2 linked regions of the Caenorhabditis elegans genome follow. The protein of the gene in region 1 interacts with the protein of each later gene in a pairwise test. Each region holds a gene or a part of one and is shown on either strand. Other genes may lie near its edges.

Region 1 (10,283 bases):
TGCATTTTTTTTTTGTTTCCTGTGACGTCATTTATTTATGGGTACCCACTTTATTTTGCTCACATAAAAAAATTAATCTTACTATTTTAAACATTCTTAAAAAAATCTCGAGTTTTGAAAAAAAAAAAAGAAGTTGAGCTTAGTCGAAATGCTGGGCAATAGTCTCAATGGCGAGCTCGTCTTGGAGAAGCTGGTGAACACGCTGAAAATGCACAAAAATTCGAAGTAAAGGCTGAACATTCCATACCAAGTCAGCCGATGGGAGGTACTTTTGAATATTGGCAAAGTGAGCCGGTGAAATCGAGCCGCGGAGCACTTTGAGCAGCTGAGCAGTCTCTCCGGTGAGCACGATTGCGTTGGCCATGTGGATTGCGCCGAGCTCCTCGGTTTCTTCTGGAAAATTCATTATGTAATTTTGATGCAAAAAAATTTTGAAATTTTTGCGTTAAAACTGTGGAATATGTCCTCTCCAGGTCAGTAGCTCCGCGAGTTTTGAAGATATCAAAAAAGTATAAACTAACAAAATGTTAAGCGTAAAATTTGCTTGTAGTTGAATACTTTTTAATATCTGTAAAATTTGCTGAGCAACACGGCTGCAAACATAAGCAAAATGTTTTTTGAGAATTTATTTTTCAAACTTCCCTAACTTTGTGAATTTTCAACATTTTCCTTACTTTTTTATGCCAAAATGCTCAAAATTTTCTCATCTACAACTCACCATCCTCCAAATAAGCTTCCCCCAAATCCATCTGCTCCATGAACAGCTTCTCGCAGACTCTTCTCACATTTTCATCCTCAATATTGAACTTTGCCTTCGAATCGGCTCCTCCATCGGCTCTGGGCTCCGATGATGACATCATGACAACATCGTTGGACTCCGATGACGTGGCAGATGAAGTATCAGAGCTTTTCTTTTTCTGGCTCCAGTAGTAGTAGGCGGCAATCGCCAGAAGAGCGGCTCCGCCGACGACGACGCCGGTCACCAAGACTGGGCAACGGAACGGGCGGTGCATTTGTTTTCGCGTAGAAATTATCGATTGATTATTTCGAAATAAATTTGAATTTGAAAATTCCAACAGTTTGGTGTTTTGCTACGTGGCACGGGAGAAATTTATTTTTGAAAAATAGATTCACGGGGGGGGGGGGGGTCACGAAATTTCAAAAATAATTTTTATTTAAAAAATATGTTTCAAGAATTTTTAAAACCATTTTTGCAAAAGATTACTGTACCTTTCTGTAGCCTACACTAAAAAAATTTTGGAAAAAAAAATGCTGAGTTATATGTATGAATAGACAATTCTGCATGTAGACAGATATTGGTTTTTGGATTTTTGAAGGGGGTTTGGGCATGTAGATGTTTAAAAATCAGTCTGAAAGATTGTCGATATCCGGAAATTCACAAAACCGGCAATTGCCGGAATTGCCGATATTCACAAAACCGGCAATTGCCGAAATTGCCAAAAATTCACAAAACCGGCAATTGCCGGAATTTCCAAAAATTCACAAAACCGGCCATTACCGGAATTGCCGACATTCACAAAACCGGCAATTGCCGAAATTGCCGGAATTGCCAAAAATTCACAAAACCGGCCATTGCCGGAATTGCCAAAAATTCACAAAACCGGCCATTGCCGAAATTGCCGATATTCACAAAACCGGCGATTGCCGAAATTGCCGAAATTGCCAAAAATTCACAAAACCGGCAATTGCCGGAATTGCCGATATTCACAAAACCGGCAATTGCCGAAATTGTCGGAATTGCCGATATTCACAAAACCGGCAATTGCCGAAATTCCGAAATTGCCAAAAATTCACAAAACCGGCCATTGCCGGAATTGCCGGAATTGCCGAAAATTCACAAAACCGGAAATTGAAGGAATTGTCACAAATTTCCAAAACCGGCAAGTGTCGGAATTTTTGCCGGAATTGCCGAAAAATCACAAAACCGGCAATTGCCGAAATTAAAAATTCTCTATATGATCAAAATTATCTTCAAAAAACTGAGCAAACTGCTTTAAATTTGCAAAGAAAAAGGTACTACAGGGTAAAAACCGATTTGAAGGCTTCTAAAGCATACCTGCCTGCCTATGGCCTACCCCTTTGCTTGTAGGTTTTCGGGGAGTGTAGGTAGGTACGAGGTAGGCAGCTAGATACCTCTAAAATCTTGAAATTTTCCCACGCCAGATCACGATGAGACGAGACTCTGATCTTTCCTCCATTTTGCTAACAGACAGACCGCCCATTAAAATGGAAATTTCAAATGGTCGCTGATCACAAAGAACGAAATAAAAGCCCGGGAAAAGCTCTGCTGGAGATCATCGGAAAAATGAACTCCAAACTTCTCAACCTTGCTCGCCGCTTCCCTCACTCGGATTCCACGTCTTCAGTGAGTCAAAATCAATAATTAAATACAATTTTTAGCTCTAGATTTCTCGATATTTCAGATGATGCTGGCGAATCTCACATTTGGAAATATGAGATCCAAAGGAACCCCACTAATCCTGGTACCTGGGCTCTTTGGAACAAAAGAAAACTGGATCCAAGTCGGCAAAGATCTCAGTCAACGTCTCGGATGCATGGTGTTCGCAGTGGAGAACCGAAATCATGGGAGCTTTTCCAAAGCGGCATCGATGACTTACGAGGAGATGGCTGATGACTTGGTCGGATTCATTGATTGGGTTCGGAAGATTACTGGAGAGGATAAAGTGAATCTTCATGGACATTCGATGGGTGGAAAGGCGGTTACACAGCTGGCGACAACACCAGAATATTCTTCGAGGATTAAGAGTTTGATTGTCGAGGATATGTCACCGTTGGGGTATCCGTTGAAGAGAGCTGGTAGGTCCATGGGCTCCCATGGAGTGTATTTAGAAGAGGCTGGGCGGCAAACAATTTTTCTGGCAAATCGGCAAATTGCCGGAATTAAAAATTACCGGGAAATGGGCAAATCGGCAAATTGCCGGAATTAAAAATTACCGGGAAATGGGCAAATCGGCAAATTGTCAGCGGAATTCAACTTTCCAGAAAATCGAAAAATTGCCGGAGTTGAAAATTATCGGCAAATCGGCGAATTGGCGGCAACTTTTCATATCCGCCAATTTGCCGATTTGCCGAAAAGTTTCAATTTTGGCAGTTGCCGATTTGCCAAAAAGTTTCAATTTTGGCATTTGCCGATTTGCCGGAAATTTTGAAATCAGGCAATTTGCCGATTTACCGATAGGCCGAGCATTTTCAAATCCGGCAATTTGCCGATTTGCCGGAAATTTCAACTCCGGCAGTTTGCCGATTTGTCGGAAATTCTATTTTCGGCAATTCTCCAATTTTCCGATAAGTTTCAATTTTGGCAATTGCCGATTTGTCCATTTGCCGGAAATTGTCCAATCCGGCAATTTGCCGATTTTCCGGAAATTTCAATTTCGGCAGTTTGCCGATTTGCCAAAAAGTTTCAATTTTGGCAATTGTCGAATTGCCGGAAATTTTGAAATCAGGCAACTTGCCGGAAATTTTCAATTCCGGCAATTTTCAATTCACGCAGTTTGCCGATTTGCCAAAAAGATTCAATTTTGGCAATTGTCGATTTGCCGGAAATTTTGAAATCAGGCAATTCGCCGATTTACCGATAGGCCGAGCATTTTCAAATCCGGCAATTTGCCGATTTGCCGGAAATTTCCACTCCGGCAGTTTGCCGATTTGCCGGAAATCAATTCGAAATACAACTCCCCAATTATTCCAGAATACCTCGAATGTATCAAACAAATGATCGCCACTGATATGAACAAATCGCGAAGCGAAGTGATGGCGGAGCTCGGCGAAAAAGTGTCAAAGGTGCTGCTCTACCAATTTGTGCGCGGAAATTTGGGTGAAGATGTGAACGGAAAAGCTCATTGGATATGCAATCTGAATGTTATCGATGAGACATACATTTATCTGCTCAGCCACGACATTCGGTTCGGAGTTTTCGATGGTCCGACTCTGTTCCAGCGGGCTCCTGGCTCGGGATTCCTTCCGGCGGCTCATAAGAATCGAGTAGAGAAAATGTTCCCAATGGTAAGGAAATATAAGGTTTTCGACTAGTTTGATCTTTAAAAATGGCGGGAAAATAATCTAGAAGGGTGTGAAGACAAGCAATAGGCTAAAAATCGATAAATTTTGAAAAATAAGCTCAAAAATTCAAATTCACAGGTGCAATTCGCCGAAACTGCCTGGTCGAACCACTGGATTCATGCTGATGACCCGAAATTCTTTGTCGACTCGATTTGCGAGTTCCTGGAGGAACCTGATCAGCTTGGAATGAGAGCTTACATTTAAATTATGAAATTTGACATGGAATTCCAGCAGTTTTAGCAGTTTTTCCTCAATTTATTCGATAAATTTCTTGAATTTTACATAATTCGTTTATAATAAATGGGTTTTCTCTTATTATTCGTTTGAAAAATTGCGTTTTTGGCCTGCAAAAATATTCTAATTTGAATCTCCCTCGCTTTTCACGAAACGCGCCAACCAGTGGTTGCTGGCGCGTTTCTCGTGAGCTTGCGCGAACGCTGCGCATTTCTTTTTTTCTCATTTCTCATCTTTTCTGCGTAAAATTATCCAATTTTTCTCTTTTTTTTTAAATTTTTCACGCCAAATTAAGAATTTGCTTACGTGGCAATCGTTTGAACCGCCTAAAAAAAAGCCCGTTATTTTCGTCGAAAATCATGTTGTCGCCGAGTTGGTGTTTTATCGATTTTTTTCCACCGAAAATTTTCGATTTTCAGAGCAAAATATGCCGTTGGAAAGCGGAAAATTGATCAATGACTTGCGTGTTAGTGAATTGAAGGTAAGTGAATCATTTTTTCCACTGGAAATTCCCTATAAAATGCACTTTTTGCAGACAGAGCTCGAGAAGCGTGGTTTGAGTACTCAAGGAGTCAAGGTTGTGCTCACTGTTCGTTTGAATAAGGTAAAAATGTGTGATGTATTTATTTATCGTCGAATCTCCTGTCAAAATTGAAAAATTACAAAAAAAAACAATTTATTTGAAAAATGCAATAAAAGTCCACGTTGCTAGTTGCTACCAGTGTCCGATGGAGGGCAAAGCTGCAAAAAAATCGATATATAAATTCGGTTTCCCACCAATTGAAAGCGATACTTCTCGAATTTCCGGCCCAACTTTCCCGGAAAAAAGAAAAAGGGCTCCCCTCCCCCCATAAATTGTGCATTCTATTCACCACTTGTGTGATCAAATTAGCGTCTCAAAATGCATAGAAAAAGGGCGCTGGCTAATGAGATGAACGGAACTTGAAGAAGAATTGGCTGCTTTTTTTCCGGCGAAAATCCATTTCCAACGGCTCAGACATTTTCGAGCTCCCCTTGTGAGCACACACGTTCCGGTGGAAGAGCACGTAAAAGCGGGGGGAAAAGAAGATGAAGCCGCCCGTGATTTGATTTGAAGGGAAAATTGGAAGAAGAAGAAGAAGGAAAAAGCTTTTAAGCGGATAGAGACAAAGTTCCCTTTTGTTCACCTCACCAACTTCCGGGAAAAGTGGCGTTACTGGACGAATTGTGGGGGTTTCTACAAGCTAATGCAATGAAAATGACGAATTTTGAAGGAAAAATCAACTAATTTGATGTTAGCAGGGAAATTTTCCGACGTTTAGTGTTTTTTTTTTCACAAAAAAAATGATTTCCTAACATCAAATTAGACCAATTTCAATTCAAAATTCGATATTCTCAGCTCTAACTTTTTTCATCGTCAATTTCCTACCTTTGGCTGTCGATGGAAAACAAATTGAGAATGATGAATAAATTGCGAGTCATCTTTCGCCGCATGTTTTGGCATCTCGGACGGCGCAAATGTGTTGGAATGAATAAGTCGGTAGCCGGAAGACGCGAGTTGGTCGAACGCTTTCTCTAAGTTGCTGTGTTTTAGGAAGAATCTGGAAAGAGAGGATTGGGTTGAAGCTTTGAAATCTGGTTAACTTGTCATTTGGTAGTGCTGAAATACCAATCGTTCTGCTCAAATATTATGTTTCAAAAAGAGCTTATGAGCTCTTCTTGTGAAACTGTCGATTTCCGCTAGTGTACTCCCCCGTGTGGTGTGATCTACAAAAAATGCGGATATTTTTCCCCAAAAAAATTTCACGTCAGCACGCATTTTTTGTAGATCAAACGGAGACGGAACATTTTTTAATGGTTCAGAAATCAGCTATTATAGCTAGAAACTGTAAATTTCGCGTAAATCTACATGACGGGTTTTCAGTATTTCTGGCCGCGAAAAAGCCTGTCTCTACCTAGAAGTGTAGCGATCCATCTCGAAATCCGTGCCTCCTCCGTCTCTACACTCGTTCAACGAATCGCCGAACACTGCTCGGCACATGATTACTTTTCCGGATACGACGATTCGTAGAACCTGAAAATATCCTTTTTCTCGACGTCAAAAATGATGAGCATTTGTCTGTGTGTGTCTCTCTTCTCTTAACATACATATTCCCCTATTGCTGTATTCATAAGCAATAATAGGGGAAAATTGATGGGAGAAAACCGCAAGAGAAATGAACAGAAAAAAGGAAAAAAAAACGAGAGCAGGAAAAATGGGCTTGTTGTTGTTCCCTTTACTGGTTCGGGATTTGATGACGCGAAAGCTTTTCCTGTTGTTTTTTGAGCCATAAAATGGATATTGTGTACCTTTCGAAACGTGACTTCTGGATTGATACGTCCGGTTGAGAGAGCCGCATGACAAGAGATGCTAATGGTTGACGGGCAGGCGGCCTCCACAAATGAAATGAGCCCAAGACGTTTGGCCTGGAATAAAGAGCAGCGATTCTTGGTTTCGGTGCATTTCCTGCTTTATCGTGAACACACGTGATGCCAGGCTGTCCCATCACGGTTTGATCTACAAAAAATGCGGGAATTTGTTGTCCAAAAATATGTGGCATCAGCACGTTCTTAACCATACGAAATCAGTTGAGAATTCTGTGTCTCTTCTCCCGCATTTTTTGTAGATCTATGTAGATCAATCCCATATGAGACACTCTGACACCACGCGTGAACGTTCAATTTTCCCACGGCAAGATTATGCCAAGATCTTATTCTGCGTTCAAGGATGATCGAATTCACTACCAGAAAGCTTAATAGTGTGTTCCCCAAGTAAACGATAATTTTTTTTTGAAATTTTGTCCTAAAATATCCAAAATAGGAGTTTTGAGACAATTTTGAGCATTTTTGAGCATTCTAGCTCCCATTTTCGCCAATCAATCTGGTAATTGAGCTTAGGGGGAATTTTTATGCTGGGGAACGAAAAGCTAAATTATGCATTTCCACGGTGAAATGCTCATTATCCTAATTGAGCTCCATCTAGAAATGACAGAATTATGGGATTTTTTTAAATCTCGTATAGCTCTTTCTCATTTCGGAATCCATAAATCCAAAGCAGCCGAGCTCTTACAAAAAGCTTCCATTAACTGCTCGCGGAGCCCATAGACTCACCTCAACGGCCAATCGGGCCCACTGATCGAAAGATTCGGAGACGATAATGCTCATGTCACTGCGACGAAGCGCCTCGACGAGGATCCGCACAATCTTGTCATCTGAATCAGACGTTGCGTCGGGCGAAGTGGCGAGCAACGATTGTGGAGCACGTTGAAGTGTGGCACGAGTCGTTGAAATTGTTGCTCCGTGAGCACAAATAATTTGTGCAACTTGCATGTATGTGTGTGTGCGTTCACTTCTTCGTTTATCTCTAGTGTTTGTTAGCAGAAAGAAAGAAGAAGAATAGGAGGCAAAAGAGGACGTCAAAGACTCTTCAGAAGACTGAAGAAAACCCGCAAAACGGGAGAGGAGCCCCCCAAGAAGAAGGCCACGCCCAATTTTGTGCTCCATTTCTGTGTCTCTTCTCTCGTGTGCTCTCCCAGTTCTTTTTTTGAATGTTTGGGAGATGCGCGAAAAGTCGAGTGTTTACAGTGGGAATAATGATTGTGGAAAAATAAAGTTTTTCTCCATTTTCCGATATTGGTATTAGTTTCAGCTCCGCCGACGAGCTAAATAAATTTTGTTTGACTCAGCGCCTTGGGGGGCCCGCTTTTTGTTTTTGTTCCAGCAGCGGCACCAGAGCTCGCGTGAAGCTCCAGACTCGATGTCATTGGCACGTCTTCTTCTTCTTCTTTTTCTTTTTTTTCCCCTTTTTCACCCCGTCTCATCTAAAGTTTGTGTACATATATACACATACATAACACGGAGGAGAAATAGAGAAGGATGGCGGCGCAGTTGAGGAAAAATGATGAATTATACTGCTTCTTCTTCTTCTTTTGCCACCATTTTTGCAAAGGGTGTTCGGAGAGAGTTTACGGGATGAAGAGACGCAGGAAACTCGGAGTTTCTTAACATGGCGCTCTTCGTTCTTTTTTTTTTTTGGTGCTTTTGGTGAATGGGTGGGTGGCAATTTGTCAGCAGTCAGTCACTTTTGAAGTTTCCGGCGGCGAGATTTCTATCTTTGTTAGCTGCTGGGTTCCGGTTGTCTCGTTTGTCTCGCGGAGCCCGTTTTCCCATTACGGTTTGATCTACAAAAAATGCGCGGGAATTTTTGGCCCAGAAAATGTGACGTCATCGCGTTCTGAACAGTTTAGATTTATGCGTCTCTTCTCGCGCATTTTTTGTAGATCTACGTAGGTCAAGACGAAATGGGACACTCTGACACCACGTGTGAAATGAGAAGGCACGTGGATTCCAGGCTTTGTCGATTTACGCAGCTCTCGTGTACTCCTCCTGAGGAAGAGATATTTGAACGTTTTTGGCGAAAAATTGTTGATTTTTAATCATAATTCTGGTCATTTTACCCTTTAATTATAGGGTTTTAAGTGGAAATTGATTTTTTGTTCCACAGTAAATACATCGATTTTCACTTAATTTCCTACAGGATAAAATGACCATAATTATGATTGAAAATCGACCATTTTTCGCCAAAAACGTTCAAATAATCTCAAAAAAAAAATTTCTAAATTGACATACATAGCCTTCAAAATTTAATTTTTAAGCCTAAAACCGCATTTTTCAGGCTCTCCGAGATGAGGGACTCGATCCAGCAGATCACGTATTCGAGCATGCAGTGAGCCCGATGAAAAAGAGCACACGCCGGAGCAACGAAATGGCACGAGCAGCGGCTGCAGCAGCAGCAGAAAAAGTGGAAAAGGGTGCAGGAGACGAAGGAAATGATGAGAATGGTTGGTTTTTTAGGCTTTTTTTTTTCGTTGATTTTTTGGTGGTTTCTTCTATTGTTGGAATTAGATTTACTTGATTATTGGGGGGTCAGTTTCATCAGGAACAATCAATGGAGTTTTTTTTTGTCAGTTTTAGTCGAGGAGAAGGAAGAAGAAGAGGAGGAGGAGGATTCACACGATTTGCAAATTATTGAGGATCATGAGTTGGAGGTGCCAAGTGATGAGAAAGATGATACATTGGTGGAGGATGAAGAGTTTGAGGAAGCTGAGCAAGTTGAGCCGGAGCCTGAGGCCGTGGAGCCAGTTGTCGAGGAGAAGCCCGAGGAGAAGCTTGAGGAGAAGCCCGAGGAGAAGCTTGAGGAAAAGCCCGAGGAAAAGCCTGTTGAGCCAGAAGTCGTTACAGTTGAGGAGCCGGTGGCAGAGGTTATTGAGGTGGAAAAGGCAGTCGCGGAGCCTGTTGAGCTGAAAGAGAAGCCGGAAAAGGAGCCGGAGGTTGTTCTTGTCGAGGAGCCCGTGGAGCAGCTGGAAAATGAGCCCGAAGTGGTGCCAATGGAAGTTGAAGAAGCAAAGAAATCGGATGAGCAAGACGGTGAGGACGAGTTTGAGGAGGATGATTCATCGTCGGATATTGAGATTATTGAGCCAACTCTACAAGAATCGGAGCCGCTAGCGGAGGAGAAAGTGGAAAAAAAGGAGAAGAAGCCAGAAGAAATTCCACACAATTTGGAGCAAAATGAGCCAATTTCTATGGAAACTGAGGAGAAAGTTGAGGAAGAAGTGATCATTCTCAACTCATCGATCAATAATGTCAGTCAGGATGATGAGATTGTTTTGGACTATGAAGAGGATTTGCTCGAGGATCCACTGGATGAGCCCATTGAGCAAAAGGAGCCAAAAGCCGCTGAGCCAACACCGAAACAATTGCAAAAAGTGGAGGCATCAACTCCACAGGCAACACCATCAAAAGCAGCTTCTTCATCTGCCGGCAGTGGAAAATCGATGCTCTTTGGAGATGACGTCAAGAAGACGTCGATATGGATTCGTGGAATGACTCCGGCGACGAAGGCTTCAAGTGTCAAGGTAATCGCC
Region 2 (12,225 bases), 3.5 Mb from region 1:
TTGAAGCATAATATGCTAGAAGCTACAAGTAACTCGGAGCAATACGAAATGGTTGTGGATATTGTAAATAATTTAGCGCTTTTCGTGGATCCCTATAAGAAAGAAATGGGCGAAAAGCGAAGGAGATTGAGATTCGAGTGTCAGATAATGGAGATGGTGGAGTTGCGAGCGAAAATCATGAGATATCAATCAGAACTCAGAGAAATTGTTTCACTCGGAAGATTTCTGGAACGGCAGTTGTTCTACCTGAGCAACGGTAATTCGAATTCGATGAATGGTTCGCACTGCGAACAACCAGTTGAGTACACGGAAGATCAGCTCGTACTTGAAGCAGAGGATACAAAGCAACGAATGCTTACGGTATCTGAGAAACTTGCCACGTATATTAGTTGCTATAAGCAACGACAGGTCAATCGGGTGAAGGAGTTTGATGAGAAAAGTGCGAAGAAAGGGATGGAAGTTGTAAGGAGATTTGAAGTTTGCTTCGAAGATTGCACTTGGAAGCTGACCGAAAGTGATGGACAGATTGCGTTGGCACAGACGCAAATTCGAAATTTCCTCTATACACGTACAGTTAGGGATAGTAACTGTGGAGATCACCTGTTCGAAGTTGGAAGTGTCCGGATTACGAACCTCCTTCCTGATTCAATATACAAGCATGCTCTGCACAGAGATGAGACTAGACTCTCAAGGCAGCCTGCCATTCGACTATTCGTAAGAGATATGCCTCCTGTTGGAGGTATAAGTGTCAAAGAGCACTTTGAGTTGAACATAGCTCCCATGGTTGCAGAGATTACTCATCGATTATTTGATAAAATGATGAGATTCTTTTTTCCTGGCAGGAATATTCATACGAATGATAACCTGGATCATGAGGAAGAAGTTTCGGTGAGATTGTAACAGTATCCAATTAATAATTGTAATATTCATATTTCAGACCTTCTCATTCACACGAAAAATTGCCAGCACACTTAGCATGCGAAGCAATAAATCTGCGTCGGAGAAGCTTATGCTTCAGAAATCTCTTCACGAAAAGGATGACATTGATCGAATGAAGGAGCGCGCCGACAAAGTCAATCATTTTATGTATATCAAAATTCCGGAAGTTTCATTTGTAGTATCATATAAGGTGAGAGCACAGAAAGGAAATTGAAAATGAAATGAATGAGTTTTTTTTATAGGGAAACAAGGACAAAAACCTGATAGATGTGAACCAATTCAACTTCATATTCCCCCTCTGTGAATACCATGAGCAAAATTGGACGTGGCTCGACTTGGCGTTGGCTGTCAAGCAGCACTGCAAACGAGTGCTCGTACAACAGTTTATGAAGCAGAAATTGTTGAGAAATCGAATTTCCAATTTTTCTATCGATCCTATTCCACAGGGAGTCAGTGAGGATGAGAAGAAGCGGATAGCAGTGGGAATTGTAGGTTTTTGTTTCAAATTTTAAAGAAACTTGAAGAAAAATTTTCCGCTTTTTCTGATCTTAATGCTGACAAAATCTGATCTAATGATTACTTAATAATAACTTGTTTTTAAATTTTTATTTAAAAAAAAATCGATTGATTCCACTTTGCGCTCCGGGCTGAGTTCGCAACAAATTATCCGTATAAGTATATTACAGCCGAATTACGGTAACACAAAATTCTGTGAATATGTTTTGCGCAACATATTTGACGCGCAAAATATCTCGTAGCGAGAACTACAGTAACTCTTTAAAAGAATACTGTAGAGCTTGTGATTTACGGGCTCGATTTTCGAAATGTATTTCTATTCGAATAGTGACAGCAATATTCGATTGTAGTCTTCGTTACAAGATATTTTCGCGTCAAATATGTTGTTTAATACGCATTCTCAGAATTTTTTTTTTTTTTGAACACGGCCCGGCAAGTGGTACATCCATGCAAATGCGCTCTACTGATAATTTGAGTGTAGACCAGGTTTGGGCGCGTGATAACGAAAAAAGCTTTGGTCCAAAAAATTTAGAATTTAATTTCGGACATTTTTTATATGCATCACAAAAAAACTGGACCAACCGTTTTTGAGATACACGCGCCCAAACGTCCAGGTATACGGTAGACAAATTGCGTACAGGTACCACTTCTCGGGCCGTGTGAAATCTAAAATCATAATCCTTCTCCACTACAACAATCGATTTTTCCAGACAACATACGATCAAAAAACACTGAAAGCCCCGAAGTGACGCCTCGCGTCCGGCCACTCATCACATTCTCCGATTAACGGGTCAAGGCCAATCGATCTTCGTCTCGTCTTCACCTCCCCCCCCTCGTCCCGAGTATATTACTGCGCTGTTGTTTGTGTGCATTTGGTACCACACTACCACCACCCCACCATACCGCCTGTCCTATACATTTACCAAATGGTCACTGGTCACCTTTTACTCGGTTTCCCCTTCTTTCTCTCGTCACCCTCCACTCACTCACTTGCAGTTTGCCCTCTCTATCGCTCTATCCACGTTGCACCGTGTGGTTTATGTGTGCTGACGTGTTCTTTTTCTTCGTCTTCCCTCTCAGCACGGGTCATTCTCAGAAAACTCATCTCAATTGTTCCTGCTGGTAACTGTTTTGTATTTATTTCTTCATTTTTAAGGCTTTACTTTTTCATTTTTAAACATAAAATGTCTAATGTACTCTTATCACCATGTCTTTTCGAATGTGGTATTTAATTATTGTTATCAAACAATTCGATATTTCGCTTTTTTCTTACTATTGCTTTTCTTACTATTTACATTTTCTTACTATTGCTTTTTTTTAAACTTTTTTGCTCGCAATATAACACCATAATTTTTGCAGGTATGAAGTCGCTTCTTGTTGTGGCGGCCGTGCTCGCTGTCGGAGCTCTTGCTCAGGGAGACGATGCCAAAGGACCAAAGGTCACTGACAAGGTCTACTTTGACATGGAAATTGGAGGAAAACCAATCGGACGTATCGTCATCGGACTTTTCGGAAAAACCGTCCCAAAGACCGCCACCAACTTCATTGAGCTCGCCAAGAAGCCAAAGGTTTGCAGCTCAAGAAATCGAGTTTCAAAATATTTTTTTTAATTTTCAGGGAGAAGGATATCCAGGAAGCAAGTTCCACCGAGTCATCGCAGACTTCATGATTCAAGGAGGAGATTTCACCCGTGGAGATGGAACCGGAGGACGCTCTATCTACGGAGAGAAGTTCGCCGACGAGAACTTCAAGCTGAAGCACTACGGAGCCGGATGGTTGTCGATGGCCAACGCTGGAGCTGATACCAATGGATCCCAATTCTTCATCACCACAGTCAAGACCCCATGGCTCGATGGACGCCACGTCGTTTTCGGAAAGATCCTCGAAGGAATGGATGTGGTCCGCAAGATCGAACAGACCGAGAAGCTTCCTGGGGACCGCCCGAAGCAAGACGTCATCATCGCCGCTTCTGGACACATCGCCGTCGACACTCCATTCTCTGTTGAACGCGAGGCCGTCGTCTAAGCTCAAATGACTTCTCTTTTTAAATATCGATCTGTGATTCTCCTGACTTCAGACACCTGAATTAAAGAGTAATTCGAGTTTCTTTTTAATTTATCGACTTTTTTGTGCGTTTCCAATTAAATAATATTACAAAGTATGTATTGATTAACACTATACGAACACTATAAGAAAAAAGAAGCGAATAAAAAAAAAGAACAAATTAACTTTTTAGTCAAATTCTGTGACGTTTACACCGAGATCACGCATTGTAAAATTTTTATTTGAAGAGATTATTTGGACGGCACAGCGGAAGGCGGATTTGATAGATTTCATGTGGCTAACATCGCGTACAGTTCTGAAAATTTAGTTTTTAGCTTATATTTCAGTGATTAACAGTCAAACCGTGTTTGAAGTGAGACAGGAAATTGATGTTTTCTTTTTTGGTATTATGAATTATAATCAACCATCTATACTATTTTAGATGTTGAGTTGAGCGTGAACACAAAAAATAATTGATTCAAAATCAATTTTTAGCCAAAAACTGAATAATCTTATCCTCGACACACGGTCATTTTTTCCAATATTCACCTGGCTGTGTTGATCGCATCAAACGGCTCCTCAACGACAATCGGACTGTTGATGAGATCACGGGGGAGATTTTCCCGAGGAATGACTTGACCCGAGCGGATTGAAAATCCGAAATTAGTGAAATCGAATTCATTATAGTACTGAAAGAATCCGATGAGCAACTCTCCAAGCGACCACGTGTTGGGAGGACTTGCTGAAAATGGTTAAATTTAGTAAGACAGATAATAAAAAGAGCACTTCAAATTACTGGGCAACTTGTCCGCAATATCGCCAAACAGAAGAAGCTCATTAAGCGGAAGTTTTCGATCAAACTTGTGCGGGAACAAGTATTGCAAGTTCGGAATGACTGCTGGAGTGACACCGCATTGAAGATAGTGCACAACGAGAAGAATCGTCGTGTAACTATTCAGAAATCCGTCCTGTGCGTTATTGATTCCAGTAACCATCGCCCAGTGCTTCACGAGTAGGGCCAGAGCTGGGAGCCGGGCATCCGTTCTGAAAATAGAAACAAATCTTGCAAATTTCATAATTGCGTTTCAAACTTGGCACACATTTTAATTTTTTCGGTTACAAAATTGAAGATTTTATCTAAATTCAGCCGAAATTTTGAAATATCTGATTTTTTGTTGAGAAAAAAACTAACAATGAATAGTAATGAATGAGATGTGAATTGTATATTCCTGCGATATTATTAACATTAATATCAACCTCAATTCCATCAAATTCTCCATTCAAAATCATTTTCACAATTGGAACTTTCGCCGGCACCAGCTGCATTGTCTTGATTATCTTCTTCAGAGGATGGCTCCAATGCGATCTTCGAAACGCCTTATCAATTTTGCGAAGAATTTTCGTCGAATAATTTCTGTCGCAGTGAAAATCGTCGCATACTTGTCCTTTATATCCATTTGTCGGAAAGCATAGACAAAGATCCATGTCAGAGTTGAAAGATCCACATCCGTTCACTGTTGAGCCAGTTGTCTGGAGCTTGATCTCTGTGTCAGGGAACAGCTTCTTGATCTCCGAGAATAGCTTTTGACGAGCCTCCATTTTCTTGAGAAACACAAAATCCGGTTGTGCATTTCCCAGGTAGTGATCCCATGCCAATTTAGACAATTGTTTGACAGAATTGAACGACTTTTTGGTGATCGAGTTCACAAACTTCTCGACGGAGCCAGCGATCCGCTCGTTGAGCACTACACCGATGGTTCGTGCCTGATAATTGACTGGCAACTGGCGAACTTCTCGGAAAATTTGATGCGTTTGGTGGCCTGGAAATAATTTTGTATTATATATTTGAAAATGGAACAGTTGGGCGAGTGTCGATATACGCAATTCGTGTACTCCTCGAGGAGGATCCTACAATTTTTGATTTCGGAGCAATCTTTTTTGTGTTGGTGTTAAAAATGTATGATTTTTCGCCTTAAACGCCTGAAAAGTTGATAATTTTCTCTCAGGCCGATTTTGTATCTAACGTGTTTTCTGGCTCCTTGCAGTAACCACCTCGAATTTCAACAAAAACTGGGTACCTGTGTATTACATGTCATCCTTTTTAAATTAGATGAAATGTTCATTAATTTCTCCATTTAAATTTAATTTTGTATGCACTTTTCCTCTTTAGGCTAAGAAATGGTTCTTTCCTAAGCCTACAGATACAAAACTATGGTACACGTTTTTATTTTTTATAATTTAAAAATACTTTAAAAACGAGGACATGTAATACACAAGTACCAAAAACTGTAAGGTGAGGAATACATTTCTCTCAAACTGTACCATTGTAGATCTTATTCTCATCTGAAGAACTGTTGGGAGTCTCCACCGAAATCACTGTGCTTGAGACCTCTTCTACACCGTTTCCTTGATCCCCTGCCTCAATTATCTGAATATCGTCATCTTCAAGCTCTTCCAGTTCGTCAGTCTTCTCCTCCTCGTCATTTGCATCCCACTCGTCAACTATATCACCTATTTCGTCCTCAGAACCTGAAACGTCTTGAATTTTTCATTAAGAAGCCTGCGATTGGACTTCTGACTTACCTTTTTTATCCGAAACTCCAGAAGAGGTGGTCATATTCAGAACAATGACGTCGTCGTCGTCTTCTTCTATATCCACTCGAGCACGCTTCATCGGTACAGCTTCCTTGTCTTCATCCTCAGATGCTTCAGTTGAATTCGCTTCTTCGTACTGCTGGACAAACTGGTTCGATTCGGGACGGGCACAGTAGACTTCTGTTGGACCGTGAAGCAGCTGTTGACATTCTCCAAAGTAGGTGTCAGAGTCGAGAGATGGAGATCGGCGGTTTTCACTAAAAAAATAGCATTTCATTGAAAGACGATTAGCAGCAATTTTTGTACCTTATGGGGTTATTCAAGTAGTGTCGGAAAATTAGAAAAATTACGTCACGACTGTATTCAAGTATATAAAAACATGTATTTAAATACATTTGTGACGTCACAAATGTATTTACATACATTTTGCTATATTACTTGAATAACCCCATTACATGTATTTTATTTTATTTTAAAAAAATTAATTTCCAACGGATTTTAAAATTAAATGTTAAGTTTAGCTAGATATATATCGGTTTGCTAACATGTCAAAAATCCTAGTAACTATACTCAATATTTTGAGTCTATTTTTACTAGAATTACGCATTTTCCCGTAATTTCAGAACAACCAGCGAAAAAATCGGGAATACATGAATTTTCAGCAATTTAATCTGCGTCGCGGGTTCGCATTACAATTTTTGACAAAAATCGCAGAATTAAAGTACCCCAGGCGCATTGTAGCTTCTTCGATGAGCTTCTTCTTCGCTCCGTCCATTTCTCGCATCTTGCGAAGTTTGGGCGATGCTTCGCTCGCAACTTCTCTAACGATAACAATATCATCACTGGATGATGATCCTGGAGCATCACTGGGGTCCACTGTTTCATTCGGCACGTCTTCTTCCACGTCATCATCATCATTTTTTAAAGTTTTCTTAGGAGTAACCGTTGTGTATCCAACTCCCGCGTTTTTTAAATTTGTCAGAACACGCTTTTTAAGCTCTTTTCCGCGTGCCCTCGCTGCTGGAGTCAACTCGAATTGAGTGCACTGAAAAACTTTTTTAAATCAAAATTTCGAAATGACGTTCAAACTCTGCTGATCGACAGAAAATCAGCTGCAATTGCAGCTTTGAATTGTTCAAAAAGTGGTTGAACTTGAGGAATCAACTCTTTTACTTCTTCATCACTTGCACAATTGAGAAGTTTACTTCTGAATCCATTAGAGATGTAAAGTTTGAAAAAGTCGAGCATTGCGTAACCTGCCGACTCGTCTGCGGACCTGAAATTTAAAAAGAATTGATTTAATTGCAATAATAATATGTAAATTTACTGACTGAGCGTCTTGGCCGGTTCCTTTTGAATGCAGACAACACGCTGGAATTGTGGCGAACGATATGAATCGCTTCACGTCAGCGTTCTCCGGAGGCTCTTCACCACGTTTGTTCACTGAAATACACATATATTTATTTATTTCTTTTAATTTTGTTAGTCTTACTGGAATCCATGTCCTGAACTAACAATGGGCATCCCAATTCAGTTCCCATGAATGTGAGATTTTGAATAATTGGACGGCGTGGTAAGCTTGGCTTTTTCGACTGTGACATTTTTCGTTTTCTCGACATTTCTGAAAGAGGAAATTTGATTCTTAATGAAAATAAACGCAGAAAACCTAAAAACTAAAAGAAAATCAACGTTATTGGGAGACATGTCTAGACATGAAAGTAGAAAACCTACATATAAAAATACAATCGAAGATTCATTCAAAGATGGAACGCAGAGAACCAGAAAACCTAAAAATTGGAAGAAATGGGACCTTTCATTTGATAAAGAACGCAGAAATCCTTAAAATTGTGAGAAAAAATATGCCTACGTGAAAAATGACCGCACAGCTGGATTTAGGAAGAAAATCGGTTCTTTTATGGAAAAATAAACTCTCAATACTTCGAATGTGGGAAAATATGAGCAAAACCTAACAAATTGGGAGAAATGTGGGGGAAAAGTAATGTGGACTGAAAGCGCTAAACAACACGCGCGCCCGTTATTTCGGAGTCTCGTTTTTGGCAATTTTTCAAATTTCGAGTTTATTGACTTTTGAAGTTTGCGCTACACACAGGCAGAACTATTACGGGAACAATAAATTCTGAGAATCCGTATTAATAGCGTATTGCGCAACATATATGACGCGTAAAATATCTCGTAGTGAAAACTACAATAATTCTTTAAATGACTACTGTAGCTGATACTTTCGAAACAAATTGTTTTTAGGATTGTGGCAGGCGATGTTTAATTTTCCTCTAATTTTTCGTGTTTTTTGTCAATTCGATGCCTTTTTTATAGTTTTCATCAAAAAATTAGAAAATAAACAACGTAAAATCTGATCAGCGCTACAGTAGTTATTTAAAGAATTACTGTAGTTTTCGCTGCAAGATATACATATGTTGCGCAATACGCATTCTCAGAATTCAGTGTTTCAGTAATATAATATGGTATAGAATGCACACAAAAGCCACAAAAGAAAATAAAACGATAGATTAATGTTAAAGATTTTTTATTCATCAAAAAGTTGTTGCAGTGTCTGGTGGTTTGGGTTCAGTTTTTCAGATCATTAAAGTTGGGGTTTAGTGTACAGCGCAGCCATAAAGAAAATGAGGGAAGTTTTTTTGGAAAAAATATTTGAAATAAATATATTAGGTTGAGATGATGAGTCCGTAGGCGTCGAAGTTTACTCGTCGTCGCCAGCTGCCTTCTTGTTGTCTGGCTCTTCTCCGTTATCAGAAGCTCCACGTTTTGTCCCACGTGGTTCAGCGTCTCCTCCCTGAAAAATTGAAATTAAGAACATACGTTTCTGAAATATGAGTCCGAAAACTAACCTCTGGAGCATAATCGTCAGTCTCGTCGTCGGAGAACTGGCTCTTCTCGAGATAGCTGAGTCCGGGTCCATCTTCATCGCCGCTTCCCTCCTCGCTGTCTTCTCCTCCCTCACCGGCAAACTCCTCCTCAACTTCCTCTCCATCAACATCGCATCCATCAAGAATCTTCAGCGATGGAATCATCTCGAACATCTTCTCACGATAGTCCTCGAGGAGTCCGAGACTTGGATTATTCGACAAGTCGAGCTCGAAAAGATTTGGAAGAACCTTTAAGCACCGGAGATTATCCAAAGAGAGCTTGTTGCTGGCGAGTGTGATCTTCTTAAGATCTGGAGCATTTTTCACAAGAACATCAAACGAAGCGTTGTCTCCAAGCTGATTGTCACTGATATCCAAATAGGTAAGAGCTGGAAGAGTTGGGAACCCGGCGAGTGTGGTGAGTCCGCACTTCACCATGCTGAGCATCTCCAAGTTGATAAGCTGGTCGGTGAGTCCTCCGATTTGTCCATCTTCAGCGTTGTCGAGGAATAGAGTATCGACAGTAGCTGGATCCCTCTCTCTGAGCTCTTTGACGTAGATTTCGGCCATAGACGGCATGATTGAGGATGTAGTCTGAAGGTAGAGGCATTAAAATAAAGTTGAGATGTAAGAGACAAGAGAGAAAATTAAAAAATCGAACAGAAAATGGAGTTTCTTTCCGAATTGGAAACAAGTCGAATAAAAAAAGCTATTTAGACGGTCACAATCAGTATAAAAATGCTTAGTCCATTTAGAGTCCAGTTTCTTACATCACGCACGAATGACTCAAGAAACACGGATAAAATCAATGAAACGATGGTGCAGCAAATTTTGGAAGGCTATGTTAAAAATTCCAAGCGAATAGACTGATTCTATTCGCTTTATATACGATTCTATAATGACAATGAACGCGCAACGCTCAACGAACGAACAAAATCGATACACTGCCAAGAAAAAAGGCCTAAATTAGGAGGAGAGCGCGCGAAAAACAAATTTGGTTGCGCGCGCTGAGAATCAAATGCATTAGCAGTGGAGCGCGTTTGTACACCACTGACGAGGGGAACATGTGAAGGTGCTCAGAGGAATAGCATAAGAGACTTATGTCAGTCGATAGACCATGTTTAGAAACGGTGATTTGAAAATTTTTAGCGGCGAATCTTCAGAACCAAGTTCACGGCGTACGCTCAAAGAAAGCGAAAACAACAATGTAACTGCAAACACTAACAAGGGAAGTAGACGAACTCAATCTCTGATTTTGGTATGGATAATACTATTTGATCGGAAAAATACCATGTCATGTCAAAGTCTGAGATTAATTTCATCTACTTCCTTTGTAATGGGTCAATTTTCAAAATTTTCCAGATATAAGCATAAAAATTGCATCAACAGCATTAACATATTTAACAATAACATTTACCGCACTTCACATGCTTTAATCTCAAACAAAGATTTTTTTGATAAAAAACTTTCAACTCCAAACGTGTAAAGTTGATAACTTTTCCATCAAAATCCGCGGAGACATGAGTTTCCGAAGTGAATATTGATCCCTAAGTGCTACGTTACAGTGTTGTTTTAGATGTCTTTAAGAGCATGTCGTGAGCTTGATTATGGAGACTTGCAGCTAAAAGTTTACGGATAACCGTTTCTAAACATGGTTCATCAAACGGCATAAGTCTCATATGCTACTCCGCTGGGCAGGTTTAGGGGCGGATCGAGGGCGGATCGAGAGCTTCTCTGGAAAGTGAGCTGGCGAAAGGAAAAATTATAGAACATATATAGAACATATATTGAACAATATGATTATTGAATAGAAATTTGTATTTTTTTCACAAAAAAATGAGCGAAAATTGTATTTTTCTGTGTGAAAAAATACATAAAGTGAACTAATTGGGATCAATCAAATTAAAACTAAATCTTCTATGCGTTTTTGAGCTTTTGTCGGATATTGTTTCCCAGATGTTTCCCAGAAAGTTCAATGACTTCACTCTGAAATCCACTCTGAAATCCATAAAACCTACTACACACCTCCGAGAATTCGATAAAATCTCATCAAGATGCCCCAAATTGTTCGATGCGCCTCTTCTCTGTGAAACGAAACGAACATATCCCTGCAGTATTCCACATAGATTTCACTGAGTTTGCTACCAAAATGTCAGCTGAGAAAAAGGAGGTTTCAAAGGTTTGATTTTTTTTAATTGTATTGATTTTCGATTTAAAAACAAGATTTTTAATCCAAAAAAATAACTCACTATTTTGCTTCAAAAAATAAAATAATTTACAGTCAGAAGCTGGTTACTACTTTCTCCTTGAACTTGCATCGGCATTTGTGCTCTCGGCGGCTCATAATGTACTATTTTTTGTATTGGACATTAAGCTCATCGCCACAAGCTTCGCCCAGTTTTTCTTCACCTTCATTTTTCTGAAACTGATCCATTTTGCAAATTATATTCCACAGGCGCATATTCCCAAGAAGGTAAATTTGTTTTCGCCATTTGCAAGTAAAGCTCCTAATCCGAAATTGTGACATCGGATTTTGGCACAAACAAGACTTTTCTGCTACCGTACTCGTAGGTATTGTGTCAATATCTTCCGTTTTCGGTAAGTTTAGTGTTTTTTGTGTAGAAGAAAACTACAAGACACATATGATAGTTCACCGTGCGGAAAATGTAGCTTCAAAAATTCATTTGTGCCAAGTTCAAAAACATGCAAAAAAAAAAGTGCCACGTGGAAATCTTTTCAGATACTTCTCCCGGCAGCCGGTGCCAAACTACTCGAGGTTCTGATTGCCTCTCTTGCTAACTCACACAACAGAACCGGAGAGCTGTTTCTTGTCAGGTACGATTCGCTCAAGAATAGTATTTAACCTCTGGGATGTGAAAACTCTATAATGGTTGTTTTCATTTTCAGAAGTTTCGATTTCCTATTTGCCGGATGCATTCTCTTCTACTACTCGACGCGTCAAAATGGGAAGGGCTTGACTAAAACGGACTGTTGGATGATTGTAAGATGGCCTAAAATGTAGAAAAATCGGTCGTGGGTGTTTGGGAGTGGCTGAGTTTTCTTCTGCGGCGTAATGCTAGTTTATTGCAGGCTCCCCTTGCGATCGCAGTGTCAATAGCCTGGCTTGAACCTGGACAAATGGAATATACGGGAGTTTCTTTGATGTCCGCATTTCTGCTCCCAATTTCAAGAGCCCTCTCGTTCATTTTACTAAAAAACTCGATGGATTGTTTAGGAAAAGGTTTAA

The links.
Region 2: the proteins of phm-2 (region 1) and gldr-2 interact in a two-hybrid assay, tested with the Caenorhabditis elegans proteins (2 studies listed by BioGRID).

The regions. Positions count from the first base shown.
Region 1 is NC_003279.8:11,512,801-11,523,083, forward strand, and holds the start of phm-2 (Pharyngeal muscle protein 2), read left to right. Parts: upstream 1-4,757; 5' UTR 4,758-4,765; coding exon 4,766-4,819; intron 4,820-4,873; coding exon 4,874-4,942; intron 4,943-4,947; exon of another isoform or gene 4,948-5,046; coding exon of another isoform or gene 5,047-5,079; intron 5,080-5,746; coding exon of another isoform or gene 5,747-5,918; intron 5,919-6,272; coding exon of another isoform or gene 6,273-6,391; intron 6,392-6,666; coding exon of another isoform or gene 6,667-6,783; intron 6,784-7,173; exon of another isoform or gene 7,174-7,302; intron 7,303-7,467; coding exon of another isoform or gene 7,468-7,686; exon of another isoform or gene 7,687-7,815; intron 7,816-9,031; coding exon 9,032-9,197; intron 9,198-9,324; coding exon 9,325-10,274; intron 10,275-10,283. Other genes in the region: F32B4.2 (Peroxisome biogenesis protein 3-2-like), read right to left, coding at 140-202, 248-393, 719-1,013; abhd-11.1 (AB hydrolase-1 domain-containing protein), read left to right, coding at 2,327-2,386, 2,445-2,838, 3,734-4,047, 4,183-4,308; F32B4.5 (KCTD8/12/16 H1 domain-containing protein), read right to left, coding at 5,047-5,079, 5,747-5,918, 6,273-6,391, 6,667-6,783, 7,468-7,686.
Region 2 is NC_003279.8:15,031,864-15,044,088, reverse strand, and holds gldr-2 (PAP-associated domain-containing protein), read right to left. Parts: upstream 8,081-12,225; 5' UTR 7,825-8,080; intron 7,721-7,824; exon of another isoform or gene 7,715-7,720; 5' UTR 7,713-7,714; coding exon 7,586-7,712; intron 7,537-7,585; coding exon 7,425-7,536; intron 7,370-7,424; coding exon 7,183-7,369; intron 7,139-7,182; coding exon 6,819-7,138; intron 6,351-6,818; coding exon 6,082-6,350; intron 6,037-6,081; coding exon 5,821-6,036; intron 5,319-5,820; coding exon 4,691-5,318; intron 4,543-4,690; coding exon 4,295-4,542; intron 4,241-4,294; coding exon 4,048-4,240; intron 3,815-4,047; coding exon 3,688-3,814; 3' UTR 3,602-3,687; downstream 1-3,601. Other genes in the region: bltp-2 (FMP27/BLTP2/Hobbit GFWDK motif-containing RBG unit domain-containing protein), read left to right, coding at 1-888, 938-1,129, 1,182-1,427, 2,166-2,204; cyn-5 (Peptidyl-prolyl cis-trans isomerase 5), read left to right, coding at 2,817-3,023, 3,073-3,480; F33H2.3 (Acidic leucine-rich nuclear phosphoprotein 32-related protein 1), read right to left, coding at 8,813-8,905, 8,961-9,557; F33H2.8 (TPT domain-containing protein), read left to right, coding at 11,050-11,157, 11,260-11,451, 11,719-11,813, 11,886-11,979, 12,069-12,219.